Linked DNA regions of Saccharomyces cerevisiae S288C. The protein of the gene in region 3 interacts with the protein of the main gene of each other region in a pairwise test. Each region holds a gene or a part of one and is shown on either strand. Other genes may lie near its edges.

Region 1 (6,885 bases), on a different chromosome or scaffold from region 3:
ACAAATGGCGGTCTGTTGGTATTGGTTTAGCATACATTATTTTTTTCTTATTTCTGTATTTATTCTTTTGTGAATACAATGAAGGAGCAAAGCAAAATGGTGAGATGTTAGTATTTCCCCATAGTGTGGTTAAAAAGATGAAGAAGAAGGGTATTGTCTCTGAGAAGAAAAAGAAAAACCAACCAACGTTGTCAACATCTGATGCTGAGAAAGATGTAGAGATGAACAACAATTCAAGTGCGACTGATTCAAGATTTTTACGCGATTCTGATGCAGCTATAATGGGTAACGATAAAACTGTCGCCAAGGAGCATTATTCATCTCCTTCATCTTCTGCGTCTCAAAGCAATAGTTTTAGTAAAAGTGATGACATTGAATTGTCCAAATCACAAGCGATTTTTCATTGGAAAAACTTATGCTACGATATCCCGATTAAGAATGGGAAGAGGAGAATTTTGGATAATGTTGATGGTTGGGTCAAGCCTGGTACACTAACTGCCTTGATTGGCGCATCTGGTGCAGGAAAAACAACGTTATTAGATTGTCTTGCCGAGAGAACCACGATGGGTTTAATCACTGGTGATGTATTCGTAGATGGTAGACCGCGGGACCAGTCTTTCCCCAGATCAATTGGTTATTGTCAGCAGCAGGATTTGCATTTGAAAACCGCAACTGTGAGAGAGTCATTAAGGTTTTCCGCGTACCTGCGTCAAGCCGATGATGTATCCATCGAGGAGAAAGATAAATACGTTGAAGAAGTCATTGAGGTATTGGAGATGAAACTTTATGCTGATGCCATAGTAGGCGTTCCTGGTGAAGGTTTAAATGTGGAACAAAGAAAAAGGTTAACCATAGGTGTGGAGTTAGCTGCCAAACCAAAACTGTTGGTATTTTTAGATGAGCCCACGTCTGGGCTTGATTCCCAAACTGCATGGTCAACTTGTCAATTAATGAAGAAATTGGCTAGTCGCGGACAAGCAATTTTATGTACCATTCATCAACCTTCTGCTCTCTTAATGCAAGAGTTTGATAGGTTACTATTTTTGCAAGAGGGCGGACAAACTGTATATTTTGGAGAGCTAGGGAAAGGTTGCAAAACAATGATTAACTATTTCGAAGCTCATGGTGCCCATAAATGCCCACCAGATGCCAATCCAGCCGAATGGATGTTAGAAATAGTAGGTGCTGCACCAGGAACTCACGCTAGTCAAGATTATTTTGCCATTTGGAGAGATTCTGAAGAATATAGGGAAATGCAGAAAGAGTTGGACTGGATGGAACGAGAATTGCCTAAACGGACGGAAGGTTCGTCAAATGAGGAGCAGAAGGAGTTCGCTACGTCAACTTTGTACCAGATCAAATTGGTGAGTTATCGATTATTCCATCAATATTGGAGAACACCATTTTACTTATGGTCAAAATTTTTTTCAACAATTGTGTCTGAACTCTTCATAGGCTTCACTTTTTTCAAGGCGAATACATCATTACAGGGCCTACAGAATCAAATGCTGGCCATTTTTATGTTTACAGTGGTATTCAACCCAATATTGCAACAATATTTACCACTTTTCGTTCAGCAGAGGGAACTTTATGAAGCTAGAGAAAGGCCATCAAGAACCTTTTCGTGGAAAGCATTTATTGTATCGCAGATTCTCGTGGAAATCCCTTGGAATTTACTGGCCGGTACTATAGCTTTTTTCGTCTATTATTATCCTGTTGGATTTTACAGAAATGCTTCTTATGCAAATCAACTTCATGAACGAGGAGCTTTATTTTGGTTATTTGCGTGCGCGTTTTACGTCTACATCAGTTCAATGGGGGTATTAGTGATTTCATGCATTGAAATTGCAGAAAATGCTGCGAATCTCGCTTCACTTTTCTTTATAATGTCATTATCTTTCTGCGGTGTTCTGGCTACGCCAAATATTCTACCAAGATTCTGGATTTTTATGTATAGAGTATCGCCACTGACATACCTCATTGATGCTCTGCTATCGGTAGGACTGGCCAATGCTAGTGTCGTTTGTTCCAGCAACGAACTTTTAAAAATTGTTCCTCCAAGCGGTATGACATGCTCGGAATATATGGAACCTTATATGCAATCCACCGGGACGGGTTATCTGCTCGATGGGAGTTCCGAAACTGAATGTCACTTTTGTCAATTCAGTTCTACCAATGATTATCTGGCGACTGTGAGTTCTTCGTATTCACGTAGATGGATGAACTATGGCATTTTTAGTGCATATATTGTCTTTGACTATTGTGCAGCAATATTTTTATACTGGCTGGTGCGGGTTCCAAAGAAAAGCAAAAAATTAAAGAAATAATTAAATATTACTGGCTACATTCATTGTATATGCAAAATTAGTTAACTATTGTTCAGAGGTTTACGCCATGTTGCTAAATGTTTGGTGAAACTAAAAGACTAGCTCAATAATCAAGACAATAAATAATGCTAGTAAACAGGTGTTCATAAATTACATCACTTTTGTGACTTTATGTACACATATACCTACATATATTATCTTTCAAAACTATACACCTCGTTTAGCTTACGATACTATGGTCTCCTATTATATTGGATTTGTAAAGCATCGACTTGCTGCTGCAATGACTGCAAGTTACCCAAAATATCGCTTGAATTGGATCTATTAACATCTGCAGTGAATGGAAATTGCTGCTGCTGTTGCTGTTGCTGTTGATGAACTTGCTGCCCTAGCATTCCGTAATTAGGCTTGTTAGGTTGGCTATGTATATCACTGTTGTTTAAGTGAAGTTGCCCCGGATGTTGTTGCATTTGAGAAAGTTGGCCACCATATATTCGTTGTTGAGTTTGTTGTTGTTGTTGCTGCTGAATATACGTCTGATGAGATTGAGTATTGTTCATTGCCGCACTAGTATTTTGGAATGAACTTATGCCATTACTGGCGTTATTGCCATTAACAGTAGACGCATTTGATGGCGTAGGATTTGGAGATGGTGAAGAAGAAAGTAAAGATTGAAAGTAACTATTAGCAGCATTCTGAGGTGACAAAAAATTTGGAGATTGTATGCTTGGTGAATTTGTATAGGAGGGTTGGGTCGGCACCAAATTATTCTGCTTTTGCACGTTAGAGTACATATGTTGAGGTGGCACAATGGCCCCTTGTTGCTGCTGCTGAGCGCGTGGAGGTGGAGGAGGTGGAAGATGTTGGGGCTGCTGTTGATTATTAGTATACGTATTCTGGGGGGATATCATTGTTGCTTGATTATTGGAATAAGTATGTTGCGGAGAAAGAATGGGCTGATTTTGAGTGAAGGTATTTTGTGGAGATATCAATTGCGACCGTTGGTGCTGCGGGATCGTATTTTGAGGAGAAAGCAAATGCGATTGCTGATGTTGAGGAAGAGTGTTTTGAGGGGGGAATGCACCAGTTATTTCTACTTTCGGCATGGATACGATGTTACCATTATTAATCCGAACATTGTTAGAGTAGGTGTGTTGAGGCGATATGTTAGATGGTTCAATTTTCGCTTGAGTCGGATTAACCTCTTGGTAAGGTTGCTGTTGATTGCTTTGAGGAAGAGTAATGTTCGGAGAATTCAGAAATGCTGGTCCTGTACTTTGTGGAGATGAAGATTGGTTCGTAAATTGCGCCTGAAACATCGAAGATACTGGGTTATTAACTGAAGGTGAGATATGCTGTTTCATCAAGTAATTTGCAGAACCTGTGGCGGTAGGTTTCAAAGGTTGAAGTCCCCCAGAGTTTGTAACTGTTTCTGGTGTACTCGAAGGTTTGATAGACTGAGGTTGTTCCATATGACTTCGCATCAAATAATTTGCAGAGCCCGTTGCTGTTGGTTTTAAAGGTTGTAAACCTGTTTGGATGGCACCGTTGCTTGGATGCAACCCCTGATTATATTCTTCTCGCACCAGGTGATTAGCTGAACCTGTGGCGGTTGGCTTCAAAGGTTCTAACGGAAGTTGCTGTGGAACAGTGGTGTTATTCACATTGCTAGTTGGTAGAGTATTGCCATTCTGTAAAAATACCGATGAAATTGGCAATGAGGCAGAATCAACAGTCTGTATTTGTTTGAAATGGGACAAGGAATCCTTCATATCCTCCAAAACTTTCTTCTCCTCCTCAGTTTCTTGTTGTTCGCTGGGCAAACTCGAAACTAATCCGCTGTTTTTTCTCCGCTTATATAGCCTCTTTAATAATTGATCCATGGGCAATGTGAAATCCAAAGGACTGTCATTATTAGAATCCTGATCTTCATCTTCTGCATCAGGATCTTGCTTTCTTGCTTCACTATTATTAGATGATTCTTGATTGAGGTTTGGAGGGTCTTGAAATGTTATATGCTCTGAAAACCTAACCTTCTTACTCTTAAAATTCAAATTTTTGATTCTTCTCCTGACTCTTTTTCTCGTTGTCTTACCAGTCAACAGCAATGAAGCAAATGAGTCAAAATCGACCTTTTGATCACCAGTTTTGGCAGAACTATCATCGTCTTCCACCTCCTCGTACACCTCTTCGTGATTCTCACTACTTAGGATAGGACGTGGTTTGGGAACAGGTGCCTTTTCCAAGATCATGCGTCTTAGAGGTAAGATGCCATATATAATAGCTCTAGAAACTAATCTTAAAACAGCGAAAAATTGACCAATATTTAACGCATTTTTACAGCTACGGAAAATTTCCACAATTCTATCTTTTACTTTTTGTGATAAATTAAAATTGGTCAAGAACCTAAACACGTCGTTCAATCTTACTAGTTTTCCATGGGTTCTCAAACATATATAGTGGTACCATCTTAGATATGTCCTTATTTCTTCATGGGTAAGTTGGTTTTGTGATAAAGACAATGGGACTTGCATGTCTTCTGGTGACTCCGCGTACACATCGCCTCCAGAAAGTGTTCGTACCTCCCCATTAGGTGGATTATCCTTTTGAGGAGAGCTCACGTTAGTGGCATTATCAGCTGCTGTATTTGAGTGATTATTTCTGTAAGACAAAGTTGTATCACTGTGACTTCTTGATCCCTGATCCCAAAAGCTGGAATCATGTGGAGCAGCAGTATTTATACCAAAATCAAAAGACACACTGGGTGGTCCTAATCCATTCGATGGCCTCTTTTCTGCTTGGTCCCCGCTGCTTAAGTCCAATCCCGGAACATTAAGCCAATCAAACGACATGTTTCGTTACCATGTAAAATTTATCGAGCCTGCAATGATCTATAAAATCTTAGCTAACGAGAAGATGCAGATAATTTGGGTTTTGAATTCCTATTTTGAATTCTACCTTTTGTTTTGTCCCCGTTTCCTAATGTTAACTCTTTTTCTAATAGGGGCAACTTACTTTTGTTTTCTCATTTGGCGAAAAAAAGTAAGTAGAAATAAATAAAAAAATAATATTATAATGTGCTGTATATATAAATACAAATGCGAAAGCTAATGCAGATTTTGCCTAGTACTCTCTAGAAATAGTAATGTCCCTTTCCAGCTCAACCAAATTTCTATTTGTAGTGCTTGACTTCCTTGCCGGCAATTTTTTGGAATGTACTGCTTTCGCAGTCTTTCTTATTGGCGATGATGATGCCGTTCTTGCTTGTGATGGTTTCTTTTTATAATTAGATTTGTCGTTCAGAACGTCGTCAATCACTCCATCTATAGGAATATTAAAGAATTGTTTTTCTGTCTCCAAAGTATAGTCTAACGGTTTATTTGCACATTCATAGAACGCTTCAAATGCCTTCCTGCCACCATACACTCTTTTGTACTTCCTTTCCATAGGCGTGGTATTCTTTTTTCTGGTTAATTTTTTCTTATTTTCGTCATCTATCCTGTTTTCCTTCTTTCTCCTGTTCTCCAGCAATTGCTTTTCTGGGATTGCTGAATCGTTAGCAATTTTATGAAGTGTGGGATAATCTGGCATATTGACAGGTAATCTGATTCGTTGATCAGCTTTGGCATTTTTGGTACCATCTAAAAAATTGGATCCCATAATACGTACTTTAGTCCTTTTGCCCTTCTCGACATCCTTTATATAGTCTAGGAGGCTGTACTCTGCAGTGTTCCCATCTCTAGCGTATTCTTTGGATGTACACTCCCGCAGATACTCATCTTCTAGCCGATTCACATCGCGCTTATCTGACTGGACTTGCATCGCAAGAAAATATTTTAAGAACTCTGGAGTATAAGATTTATTATATTCTTCAAATACAGGTTCTCTGTAGTTATAGGCATATTGTGATACTTTGCTGTCGATATCGAGATTTGGTTTACCCAATTTACTATTGGATTTGTCTAGCAGTTGATTGATATCAAGCGCCTCCCCATGAGGAATGGCGGTTTTGTTCGAGGGGGTTATGCAGTCCATATTGACTTCTTTACGTATGACAGAATCAATATCTACTTGCGAGAAAAAGGCACAGTTTTGCGGTAATTCATTTATCCCCATTTGCTGGCAAAACATTGCTCTCGTCCATATGTTGCTGATTTGCAAAGCCATAGCAGCTCTGTATTTGTCCTTTTCGCTCACCAAAAATCTAATCTCATCATGGATGGAAATGCAAAGCCTTGCCTCAAGGTTATATTTCTTAATAATATATTCCATGGAGCAACAAAGAAGATGTAGATAATCCACTCCAGATGACTGGATGGCCCAATTGATTCTTGAAGGTAGAAAGGAATTCGCCCTCAGATTTTTCTTCATAAGTGAATAGGTAATACCACATCCCAGTACCGGTGTCTTTGGAGTTTCTTGTTCCGCGATGCTTTCTAATTTATTGAATAGAATTGACTCAGATCCACCATACCAAAATTTTTTGAATAATTTTGATCTTTTCGTTTTACCTTTCGTATTTTCATATAACTTATTCGCAATTTTTTTTGTCTCTTCA
Region 2 (5,932 bases), on a different chromosome or scaffold from region 3:
TTTCGGCGGTATCGTAAGATGTGACTATGTTGCCCTGGGGCTGGTAGAAGCCGCCAGAGAACTAGAAGTTAGGGTCCCCATTGTGGCACGTTTGCAAGGTACCAAAGTAGAAGAAGGCCGCGACATTATCAATAAGTCAGGCGTGAAGATTTATTCGTTTGATGAATTAGATCCTGCTGCTAAAAAGGTCGTTGAATTGACCCAAAATTAAGCTTCTCGAGAAAAACAAAAGAGTTAATAATAAAGTATATATGCTTTTTTACTATTAATAAAGTTTCTTATTTTCCCTACATGTATACATACATATAAATATACTCTTTTGGAAAAAATTTCTTTTTTTTTTTTTTAATTTTTTTATATTTTTCCATCTTTTGATGTAATATAGAGGTTATATAATGAAAGAATATATAAGAGGTCATAAAAAATCATTAAAAAAATGCGAGTTCAGGAACATATTATCGTTTACGTAATCAGTGCGTTATTGGCGGATTAGTACCGATCACACCTTTGTTCATCGATGTGGATGCAGTTTGCTTTGCTGCGACGGCTGCAGGAGTCTCCCCTTTTATTATGTAGTGAATAACCTGTTTAAAAGAATCACCGTTCCGTATCCTAAAGTTAGCAATTCTTGTTAGATGGTAGCCTGCAGTGCAACCCAGGAAAAAATTGACGGAAGCTAACAGATAGTTCTTGGGCTTGATGACAAACGACCAACGCGTCCAAATCAGTGCCGTCGCTAATAAAGATAAATTTTGTGCTCCTGATACCTTCTCAACAGGCCTCTTAATATCATTTAGCCCTGCGAAGACCAGCCCCCACTTCAAAGTTGGGGCCCAGAAGTGTACTGTTTTAGGGCCTGTTTCACTATTCCAAAATCTTCTAAAGGCAAAATTAAAAGCTGATGCTGACATTAAAAATATAGGTTTGTGTTTCTATGTGTCTTGAATGCTTATGCGTATAGTCTTAAAGACTGATTGTATTCTTTTTTTTTATATGAAGTATTTCCGCCGTAATGAAAGGGAAAAGAAAATTTTCTCCAATACTCCAATTGCAACGCACCATATTATCCGGGAGAATACACGCACGCAGCCGCATATATATATATGATGGCCTTAGTTTTGTTTGAGCCTTTCGGTTTTGCGTGACCAAACCAGGGAGCGGCTCGCTTGACCCGCCCACGGAATGACGTAAAGCCGTTAATAGCCGATTGGCGGGAGAAATAAAAGCGGGGCACTCCCAAGATGAGGGGTAATCGGGGTAATAATATCCAATCAAGGAGGAAAAGGGCCAAATGTTACCCGACTATCCAAACTGCAGGGTAACCTTTATTTTTTCTTTTCTTTTACTCCTACCATTTTTTTTTTCAGATTTTTCCCAGTATGGCTTTGTTTTCATTTTGCTTTGGTGGAGGGATAGATTAAGTTTGCAGCTGCGTAGAAAAGTTTCTTTTCTACATTCGAGGAAAAAGTCGACTTATTAGTCTGGTTAACTTGTTATTAGGGCTTCTTGCTTGAGTTATAATTTTAGAAGGAGAAAAAATAAATCTGTAGCAGGAGTACCAATTTGCTACGCTTGCTAACATCTACGAGAGTAACAATATCAAGCATACAAGCGCGACTGTCTCGGCTACCCCTATAATAGATATAGAGGCGTGTTTGTGAAACAATGTCTTCATTATATACTAAGTTGGTTAAAGGGGCGACCAAAATAAAGATGGCCCCTCCAAAGCAAAAATATGTGGACCCTATTCTCTCGGGCACTTCGAGCGCAAGAGGATTGCAAGAGATTACCCACGCATTGGATATAAGGTTGTCTGATACAGCCTGGACCATTGTTTATAAGGCATTGATTGTGTTGCATCTGATGATACAACAAGGCGAAAAAGATGTCACGCTAAGGCACTATTCCCATAATTTGGATGTTTTCCAATTGAGAAAGATTTCGCATACTACTAAGTGGTCTTCCAATGATATGAGGGCTTTGCAGAGATACGACGAATACCTAAAAACACGTTGTGAAGAGTATGGCAGGCTAGGTATGGATCACCTACGAGACAATTACTCCTCGCTAAAGCTGGGCAGTAAGAACCAGCTTTCAATGGATGAAGAGCTAGATCATGTTGAATCATTGGAAATTCAAATTAATGCCTTGATAAGGAATAAATACTCTGTTTCAGATTTAGAAAACCATTTGTTATTGTATGCATTCCAATTGTTAGTACAAGATTTACTAGGTCTGTACAATGCTCTTAATGAAGGTGTCATTACACTTTTAGAATCATTCTTCGAATTGTCCATTGAGCACGCAAAAAGAACACTGGATCTCTATAAGGATTTCGTGGATATGACAGAATATGTTGTTAGATACCTAAAAATAGGAAAAGCTGTCGGTTTGAAAATCCCCGTTATCAAACATATTACTACAAAGTTAATTAACTCCCTTGAGGAGCATTTGAGAGAGGAAACAAAAAGACAAAGAGGTGAACCTTCTGAACCGCAGCAAGATAGAAAACCATCTACGGCCATTAGCTCTACCAGTAGTCACAATAACAACAGCAATGACAAGAATAAGTCTATAGCGCAGAAGAAACTGGAACAGATAAGGGAACAAAAAAGACTGCTGGAGCAACAATTACAAAACCAACAGTTGCTCATTTCCCCCACGGTCCCACAAGATGCTTACAACCCATTTGGATCACAACAGCAAGATTTAAATAATGACACCTTTTCATTCGAACCAACCCAGCCACAAATGACCGCTCAAGTCCCTCAACCAACTGCTAACCCCTTCTTGATACCGCAACAACAGCAACAGGCTTTACAGTTGACATCTGCGTCTACAATGCCACAACCAAGTGAGATACAGATTACTCCAAATTTGAATAATCAACAAACTGGGATGTATGCTTCTAACCTTCAATACACCCCAAATTTCACCGGCTCAGGGTTCGGCGGATACACGACCACCGAGAACAATGCAATTATGACCGGCACTTTAGATCCAACAAAAACGGGGTCTAACAACCCATTTTCGCTAGAAAATATTGCCAGAGAACAGCAACAACAAAATTTCCAAAACTCCCCAAATCCTTTTACCCTCCAACAAGCACAAACCACCCCGATTCTTGCTCATAGTCAAACAGGTAATCCATTTCAGGCTCAAAACGTGGTGACATCACCAATGGGCACATACATGACGAATCCCGTGGCCGGTCAACTTCAGTATGCCTCTACTGGTGCGCAGCAGCAACCACAAATGATGCAGGGTCAGCAAACAGGGTATGTTATGGTTCCCACTGCGTTTGTCCCCATCAATCAACAACAGCAACAACAGCAGCATCAGCAAGAAAATCCTAACTTAATAGATATATAGTGAGCGATAGATACTACAGTTTTTTGTTCTCAACAGGCCGTCCTTGCATATTATAAACTCTGATTTTTAGGTAATCCCTTCCACCTTTCTATATTTTATGATACTATCCAAACATGTAAATTTTACGTACCATACATATAACCTCATCTATAATTTTTACCCTGATCTAACTAACTTTGGCATGCCTGGTTCAATCTACGGGTTACAGTCATCGTTGAAAACGATGGAAAAACATGTCGAGATTCCTCAATCCATACACCATTATAGTCCGTTTTATCAGCTTCCACTAATTTTTTAAATCTCAGTTTCTTCTTGAAATTTAGCATCGTGCATGGGATAGCGGCTAGTAAAAAAGAAAATTAATATCTCATTAACAAAGTTATTGTACATAATCCGGTACAATATTCTTCAATGTACTCTCTAATATCGAGCACACTGGCAATATTCATGCACACATTCGCCTAATGCTGACGAATGCTTAATCAGTGCAATTACTGCCACCCTCTTGATATGTGGGCTAAATCCTTTAGGACCTGTAAAAAATGCAATCACGTTTTCACATTTTTTTTTTTCTTGCGGAATTGCGGAATTTCCCAGTTGGCAGCGTTATCCGATTTGAGATCGACTTGCATCAACCTTTGAAAAATATAAGGATGAGAAAGTGAAATCGGTTTTTTTTTTCCATTGTCGTCATCAACATGATTTTTTAAATAAATAAATACGATTTTTTATTTTTTTTCCCTTCTTTGTTTTTGTTTTGCTTATTCCCATCTTCATTATTAAATTCTTCCGCTCTTAATAAAGGAGTTTTTTTATTATCTTCTTGTGTAATCATCCTTTTTCTTTAATTTTCTTCCTTTTCTTTTTCTCTTTACTGGTTTTTTTACTTCTTTATTCTCAACCATCTAAAGAATATTATTGCTTTCTACCAATAAAATCTGTTAATTCTATTTGGATTGTCGTCTACTCAAGTCTCGCCTAGTAAATAAACGATAAACAAATTTGAAGTAAGAATAACAATATAGGGAGAGAAATTTTTCTATTTTTAATTTCGAAACAGGTACCAAAAAATCTAAGTTCACTTTAGCACTATTTGGGAAAGCTTTTATATAAAAAATCTGAAACAAAATCATATCAAAGATGCAATCTCAAGATTCATGCTACGGTGTTGCATTCAGATCTATCATCACAAATGATGAAGCTTTATTCAAGAAGACCATTCACTTTTATCACACTCTAGGATTTGCAACTGTGAAAGATTTCAACAAATTCAAACATGGTGAAAATAGCTTACTATCTTCAGGGACTTCCCAAGATTCCTTGAGAGAAGTTTGGTTAGAATCTTTCAAGTTGAGTGAGGTTGATGCTTCTGGGTTCCGTATACCACAACAAGAAGCTACTAACAAGGCTCAAAGTCAAGGTGCTCTATTAAAGATTCGTTTAGTGATGTCTGCTCCAATCGATGAAACTTTCGACACCAACGAAACCGCCACAATCACTTATTTCTCTACTGATTTGAACAAGATTGTCGAGAAATTCCCAAAACAAGCCGAAAAATTGTCCGATACCTTAGTGTTTTTGAAAGATCCAATGGGCAACAACATCACCTTCTCAGGCTTAGCTAATGCAACCGATTCCGCTCCAACTTCCAAAGATGCTTTCTTAGAAGCTACCTCCGAAGACGAAATCATCTCTAGAGCTTCTTCCGATGCTTCTGACTTACTAAGACAAACATTGGGCTCTTCTCAAAAGAAGAAGAAGATTGCTGTCATGACTTCTGGTGGTGATTCTCCAGGTATGAATGCCGCTGTTCGTGCCGTTGTTCGTACAGGTATACATTTCGGCTGTGATGTTTTTGCTGTTTACGAAGGTTACGAAGGTTTACTAAGAGGCGGTAAATATTTAAAGAAAATGGCTTGGGAAGATGTCAGAGGTTGGTTAAGTGAAGGTGGTACTTTGATTGGTACTGCTCGTTCTATGGAATTCAGAAAGCGTGAGGGTCGTAGACAAGCTGCAGGCAATTTAATTTCGCAAGGTATTGACGCTTTGGTTGTTTGTGGTGGTGATGGTTCTTTAACCGGTGCTGATCTTTTCAGACACGAATGGCCATCTTTGGTTGATGAATTGGTTGCAGAAGGTAGATTCACTAAAGAAGAAGTCGCCCCATACAAGAATTTGTCCATTGTTGGTCTTGTCGGTTCCATCGATAATGATATGTCTGGTACTGACTCTACCATTGGTGCTTATTCTGCTTTGGAAAGAATCTGTGAAATGGTTGACTACATTGATGCCACCGCTAAATCCCACTCCCGTGCCTTTGTTGTTGAAGTTATGGGTAGACATTGTGGTTGGTTGGCCTTGATGGCTGGTATTGCTACCGGTGCCGATTACATTTTTATTCCAGAAAGAGCTGTTCCTCACGGAAAATGGCAGGACGAATTGAAGGAAGTGTGCCAAAGACACAGAAGTAAGGGTAGAAGAAATAACACAATTATTGTCGCTGAAGGTGCTTTAGATGATCAATTAAACCCTGTTACTGCCAATGACGTCAAAGATGCTT
Region 3 (7,233 bases):
GGCCGGAGTCTTTGGTGGCAAGAAGTCTACAACCACTGGGGACAAAAAATCCGAAGAGAAGCAATAATTCTATCGATGGTAAAGAGTATGTGTCACGAAATCATCTTGATGCCGCAATGTACGAGCAAAAAAAGAAAAGAGAAATCAATCTTAACAACTCAACCATGCCGAGTGCTACTATAGTACTTTTCTTTATTACTACGTATGTAAATTGTAACAAATGTGTACTTTTATGTGTGTTCTTAAATGGGAAACTACTTAGCGTTTTGTTCATTTCCAGTGTTAAGTAGGAAGAATGACTGAGCGAAAAAAACCGTAGAAGTAGAACTTAAAATAAGAACGGAGGCTAAACCACCAAAACAGCTCATCAACAGTTAAAACACCACCAATATTTCCAGAAAAAAGAACTGTAGATATAGTCTCATTAGTATTTAGAAGAAAGAGGATTTTGCAATGGCAGGGGATAGTATAAGCGCTGACGGCACTGGCGTCCATCCAGTTGAACTGTCGGTGTATTCAGTATTGTCCACCGATTTAGACGGACTGTATCAATCGATCAATGAATTACGCGAGTCGCAAGCACTACTCATCCTTATGCTTCGGAAGGTTCGCGATAAACTTCGAAGAGAAGGTCAAGTCCTTTATGACCCAGAACCATTCAAACCAACCATGGATAAACTGGCTGACTTATCTGCCCGTGTGCGCATTCTCTCACAAAGATACGAGGAGCTTCAGGGGAATGCTAGAGCCCTCAACAACTAAGTAAACATACACATGTATAGCATAATCTTCGATTCCTTTTACCCATTCGTAGATGGCATCGACAGTGTACTTATAATACTACCGTGAGAAACGATATTAAGAACAAGACGAAAAATGGTGGAAAATCTGGAAAGCAAGAACGTAGCACGCTAGAGTTATTCTAGCTTGTCAGCTCGACTGTTTAATTATTATTGTTATTATATTAACATTAACGTAATAACCATTGAACTACATTAAAGAAATAACTGTCTCGCTTATATCTGGTCTATTTTTTGTTTTTTGCCTTTCCTTTTAAATTCTTTATAACCTTGAAAACAAAAAATCACATTGGTAAATTACAATCATTTATTACCAAATTTGTCCATTAACTATTTTAGCGTGACTGACTGATAAAGACTGTTTCACTCTCTTTATTTATTCATAACAAAAATTCAGATATTTTGAACTATAAAGTACTAAAGGCAGAAAAATTAATAGCAAATTAAGCGATGGCAATCAAGTCATTGGAATCGTTCCTTTTCGAAAGAGGTCTAGTAGGATCCTATGCCATTGAGGCTCTGAATAATTGTACCCTGGATATAGACGTCAACCATTATGTTTCCAGATTGTTGACCAATAAAAGAGAACAGTATTTGGATGCCATTGGTGGTTTCCCTACCAGTTTAAAAATGTATTTGGAAAGCGACTTAAAGATATTCAAGGATTTCAATATTACCCCTATTTTTGTCTTTAATGGTGGTTTGACTTACAACCAATTAGAGGCATCGGGCCATTTTACTGCAGCATCTGCTTCTGCGTCGATTTCGTCAACCACTACTTCCAGCAGCGGTACCAATGCCACAACAAGATCCAACACGGAATCCGTTCTTTTGCAGAGAAGTAGAGGCTGGACACAATGGAACAACTTGATTAGTTCGAATCAGAATTCCTATATTGACCAGCCTATTCAACCCCAAGAGCCATTCAGACATAACACCACAATTGACTCCAAAGCTTACCAAAACGATTTGATCGCTTATTTTATTGAGCATGGGTATATGTACCAAGTGGCTCCTTACTCCTCTTGGTTTCAACTAGCATATTTATTGAATAGCGCTTATATTGATGCGATCTACGGCCCAACTGATTGTTTGATGCTAGATTGTGTTGATAGGTTCATTTTGGGTATGGAATTTCCAAATAAAGAATTTCGATTCATTGACAGGTCAAGAGTGATGAAGGATTTAGGTTGTACCCATGAAGAGTTTATCGATATTGCTATGGCTGTAGGTAATGATTTGCAACCAACAACTTTACCACCATTGCAAATTTATCCAGTTCCTCAGCTGTTTGATATTGCTCTAGAAATGGTTTTGAATACAGGTACAAACTTCTATGCCTATCAACTATCTACAACCTTACAAAATGACTCCAAAGAGAATATTCAAAACTACCAAAGAGGTATTTCTGCATTAAGATACATGCCAGTCTTGAAAGATACAGGTAAAGTTGAATTATTTGTTCAAGAGATCGTTGTTTCAGAGGAGGACAGTGAAAAGAATAACAAGGATGGAAAAAAGAGTAATCTTTCCTCACCATCTTCTGCGTCATCTAGTGCTTCTCCTGCTACCACCGTGACTAAGAACGCTAGTGAAAAGTTAACTTATGAAAAATCCAGCACTAAAGAGGTTAGAAAACCAAGAGATATTCCTAATGATGTTCATGATTTTATCGGCCAAATGTTACCTCATGAATACTATTTCTATAGATCCATAGGACTGGTTACTGGAAAATTATTTGACGCAATTGTCACAGGAGTTTATCCTGAAGAGCCTCCATTGGGCGGAGGATCTTCTACATCCTACAAGAAACTGGTTTCCAAGTCCGTTGAAATCTTCAAGAATAAAGAAATCAATTTATTAACTCAACCAATTAACAGATACTATCAGATTAAACAAATTAAACAAGTCAAGTGGTATGCGGCAAATGAGCCTACCACTTTGACCAACAGGATGTCACCTTCTATGTTTGAAACTATCAACCACTTAATTGTTAAAACAGAAACGTCTGATGAAAAGGAATTTTCTATCTCTGAGTTCATTACAACAATAAATGGTTCTAGCAATATGGCGAAAGATTTTATATCTGAAAAAGTCATTTTCCCAAACTCCGTACCAATCGAATCCAAATTAAACTCACCATTTAATTTATTGTCGACCAATTTCTTAAGATTACTAGTACTATTGGAGTTCTTCACTTTTGATTTCAAGGAAAAACTGCTAGAGCCTACGAGATGGGGTGAGGTATTCTTAAAATTAAATGAGCTCAATATTGACAGTAAGTATCACGAATCAGTTATTATCTTTTTGGTATTTTTGAAATGCGATGTCTTAAAACTTGACGAAGAAGTTCAACCACCGGCTCCCTCAGCCCTATCTCAAGCCACTCTTCGTTCATATCCTGAAGAATCATTGTACGTCCTATTGATTACGCGTGTATTAACTTTATTTCAAGTGGACCAAAAGCCATCAAATTACCACGGACCAATTGATAAGAAAACTTTGATCTTTAGAGATCATCTTTCTTTCATAAAGGAAAATTTAAATGAACTTTTTGAAGCCGTTTTGATCTCATCTTTAACTTCTGGCGAGTTTAATAGATTATCACTTGATAACTTTGGTTGGGCAAGAAAGATTGTTAGATATTTACCGTTCAAATTAGATTCCCCAAATACTATAATGGCTATGATGTGGGAGTTTTTCTTACAAAAATATCTTCACAATGGTAATGCCAAGAATGATGCATTGTCTTTAGTTGCTACTGAATTCAACACTTACAAATCCACACCAAATCTTGATGAACAGTTTGTCGAATCCCATAGATTTCTTCTTGAAATTTCAAAAGTCATGCAGGAGCTAAATGCTGCGAAATTAATCGATGAAAACGTGTTTAAATTATTCACTAAAGCAGTTGAGTTTACTACAACAGCTCTATCTAGCTGAAGCGTGAGAATGAGTATGATGGAAATAGTGGAACTATTTAAAAAGCACCCAATAAAGAAAGATAGTTACTGTAAAGAGGTATATTATCATTATTCAGAGGGTTCAAGTACCATCATCAAGATTTAACACAAGCACAGTGAATAGCAACAATTAAAGAAAAAACTAATCAAAATCACGGTAGAAATAGGAGAAAAAAAGTAAAACAGAAACTAAGTCACTGTTTCTTTATATGACATATTCTATTATATAAATATGTAAAGAACGCTGAACAGTAAAAATTTTATGAAATTCCGGCAGAGAAGAAAAGGAAAAAATAAGTATACACCACACCGTTACTGGATAGATTGAAGTTCAAATCAAAAAAGTTTACAAGTGAAATAACAAACAGTAAATATTACACATTCATGTACATAAAATTAATTATCGGTGTCAATTGATTTCTGCTTGTAATGCTTGCAATTCGTGTCTCTTATTGTTCAAGTAATTCTCCAATACTTCAACCTGCTGTTCAATGTTATCCAAGTCATCAGTTATCGACCTGATGTTAATCCGCTTAGAAAGTTTTGAGCCTCCTTGAGTTTTTTCACTCTTTTTGTAGTTCAAAAGGCCTTCTAATTGTTCTCTCATGTTCGCAACTTGATCATCTGTCAGAGAAGCATATTTTTGCTTTATACTGTCTTCATTTGAAAGCACGTTACTGCCACTGCTATCGGAACTCGAGTTCTGCCCATTGTCACGCAGATTGTCCACTTCGTTAGCTTCTTCTTTTCTCTTTGTAGGAGGTTGAGAGGACCGTAAATCATAGCTCAGTTGTTTTTTATTGCACACCTCCGCCAGAGAATTTGGTAAACTTGCTGGAATTTCAGCACCCAAATCATTTCTTTGTCTTAAACAGTGAATAAAATAAAAAGTAGGATCTCTATCAATTGATGGCAAATTTTGTGGGTTAATTAAACTCCAAACCTTATTTAAATCTGTCTTACTGATGTTAAAAAATTTTGTGGAAAGTTTTGTTGACAGTTCGTTGAATGTAATAGTACCATCGGTTAGTTTTGCACAGCTATTATAAATTTTTTCATATTGATTCAAATCATCTGGAGACATGTACCAATCTACTTTGATTTCCTTCTTTGGAGGCAAGTCTGCGTTTTCTATTTGCTTGCGCTTCTTTCTTTCTTTGATTAGATTCACCTTACTCCCTGGAATCAACCAATCAGGCAATTCATCTGGAACAGAGCTAATGTTTTTATTAACCATATCAAATATTAATCTCATGCAAATTACAAATTCCTCAAAGTCTAAATTGTCGTCGTCATCAATATCAGCTAAAAACCAAATCTTGTTTAGAACCGATGAATCTAATTTGGAATTATAAAGAATTGGTAAAACCTGGTCATGGTTTACCTTATTCTCTATTGGTTTCAAACCCGAGAAGATTTGCCAGTATTTTTTTATTTCAAATTGTTCCAACTTGGGCATTTTTCAGAGATCCCTGTTATCTTTACCGGCCTTTCCAATACCCACTAACTCTATGGTTATATTACAATCGTCTGATTATAACAGGCAATTAACCTTGTGTTTCTGACGTTCTTTTCATTCATTCTTGATATGTTAAATCATAGGGGTCCTACACGATCGTCAAATATGATATTTAAAAAGTAATAAATAAAAATGCAGCTTTTTTATTAGCGATGGGAAATATTGAATATTTGAAGGGGCAAATAACGTTTAATTCAATCGAATGACGGTCTAAATGCTGCTGAAAAATTGCGAGACGGACAAGCAGCGAGATATACGGTATGCGTGTTTGTTCAAGGAACTTGATGTTAAGGGAAATGGTCAAGTTACTCTAGATAATCTGATAAGTGCTTTTGAGAAGAACGACCATCCGCTCAAGGGAAATGATGAGGCAATCAAAATGCTGTTTACTGCAATGGATGTTAACAAGGACTCTGTAGTTGATTTAAGCGATTTCAAGAAGTATGCTTCCAATGCCGAATCTCAAATTTGGAACGGCTTCCAGAGGATAGATTTAGATCATGACGGTAAGATTGGCATTAACGAAATAAATAGGTATTTGTCAGACCTCGACAACCAGAGCATATGTAATAATGAACTTAATCATGAACTTTCAAATGAAAAGATGAACAAATTCTCGAGGTTTTTTGAATGGGCGTTTCCAAAGAGAAAAGCCAACATTGCGCTACGAGGCCAGGCTAGCCACAAAAAGAATACTGATAATGATCGGTCAAAGAAAACCACCGACTCAGATTTATACGTTACATATGATCAATGGAGAGACTTTTTGCTGCTGGTACCGAGAAAGCAGGGTTCGAGACTTCATACTGCTTATTCCTATTTTTACCTATTCAACGAAGATGTCGATCTGTCCTCAGAGGGAGATGTTACTCTCATAAACGATTTCATTCGCGGGTTCGGGTTTTTTATTGCTGGTGGTATTTCAGGTGTTATTTCAAGGACTTGTACCGCGCCATTTGATAGACTGAAAGTGTTTCTCATCGCAAGAACGGATCTATCCTCGATCTTGTTAAATTCAAAAACAGATCTCCTTGCTAAAAACCCCAATGCTGACATAAACAAGATATCATCTCCATTAGCAAAGGCTGTCAAAAGCTTATATAGGCAAGGCGGGATAAAGGCTTTTTATGTTGGGAACGGTTTAAACGTCATCAAAGTTTTTCCAGAAAGTTCGATAAAGTTTGGTTCTTTCGAGGTCACCAAGAAAATAATGACCAAATTAGAAGGCTGCCGCGACACAAAAGATCTTTCAAAGTTCTCTACTTACATTGCTGGTGGTTTAGCTGGTATGGCAGCTCAGTTTTCCGTTTATCCTATAGATACTTTGAAATTCAGGGTGCAGTGCGCTCCTTTGGACACAAAGTTGAAGGGGAATAATTTGCTCTTTCAGACTGCAAAAGATATGTTTCGAGAGGGGGGGGGTCAGATTATTTTACAGAGGTGTCACAGTCGGTATAGTGGGCATATTTCCCTATGCTGCATTAGATTTGGGGACTTTTTCTGCCTTAAAAAAATGGTATATTGCCAAACAGGCAAAGACCCTGAACCTACCACAAGATCAGGTCACTCTAAGCAACCTGGTTGTACTTCCAATGGGTGCATTCAGTGGAACTGTAGGAGCTTCTGTTGTTTATCCAATCAATCTTTTAAGAACAAGACTACAAGCCCAAGGAACATATGCACATCCTTATGTGTATAACGGCTTTAAAGATGTTTTGTTAAAGACGCTAGAAAGGGAAGGTTATCAAGGTCTATTTAAAGGTCTAGTACCAACTTTAGCAAAAGTATGTCCAGCAGTTTCCATCAGCTATTTATGTTACGAAAATCTGAAAAAATTCATGAATCTGGAGTAGTGATAATAACATATGCATATGTATCAACTAGTGAATTCTATTTAATTATAAACCGCTGCTGCGGTTTGTGGGCGTACTGTCAGCCAAGCTTTCGTTAT

What was found. The genes of interacting proteins can lie anywhere in the genome.
Region 1: the proteins of END3 (region 3) and SCD5 interact in a two-hybrid assay, tested with the Saccharomyces cerevisiae proteins (2 studies listed by BioGRID).
Region 2: the proteins of END3 (region 3) and YAP1802 interact in a two-hybrid assay, tested with the Saccharomyces cerevisiae proteins (3 studies listed by BioGRID).

Annotation. Positions count from the first base shown.
Region 1 is NC_001147.6:934,171-941,055, forward strand, and holds SCD5 (Scd5p), read right to left. Parts: upstream 5,180-6,885; coding exon 2,561-5,179; downstream 1-2,560. Other genes in the region: ATP-binding cassette multidrug transporter PDR10, read left to right, coding at 1-2,327; DNA-directed DNA polymerase gamma MIP1, read right to left, coding at 5,451-6,885. UniProt on the Saccharomyces cerevisiae protein: Regulates both fluid phase and receptor-mediated endocytosis. Involved in vesicular transport at a late stage of the secretory pathway. Regulates actin cytoskeleton organization.
Region 2 is NC_001139.9:972,315-978,246, reverse strand, and holds YAP1802 (Yap1802p), read left to right. Parts: upstream 1-1,665; coding exon 1,666-3,372; downstream 3,373-5,932. Other genes in the region: LSC2 (succinate--CoA ligase (GDP-forming) subunit beta), read left to right, coding at 1-211; MPC3 (mitochondrial pyruvate carrier), read right to left, coding at 471-911; YGR240C-A (uncharacterized protein), read left to right, coding at 3,470-3,670; PFK1 (6-phosphofructokinase subunit alpha), read left to right, coding at 4,513-5,932. UniProt on the Saccharomyces cerevisiae protein: Involved in endocytosis and clathrin cage assembly.
Region 3 is NC_001146.8:465,881-473,113, forward strand, and holds END3 (End3p), read right to left. Parts: upstream 5,223-7,233; coding exon 4,173-5,222; downstream 1-4,172. Other genes in the region: TCB2 (tricalbin), read left to right, coding at 1-67; SNN1 (Snn1p), read left to right, coding at 454-762; MKT1 (Mkt1p), read left to right, coding at 1,251-3,743; Ca(2+)-binding ATP:ADP antiporter SAL1, read left to right, coding at 5,497-6,981. UniProt on the Saccharomyces cerevisiae protein: Component of the PAN1 actin cytoskeleton-regulatory complex required for the internalization of endosomes during actin-coupled endocytosis. The complex links the site of endocytosis to the cell membrane-associated actin cytoskeleton.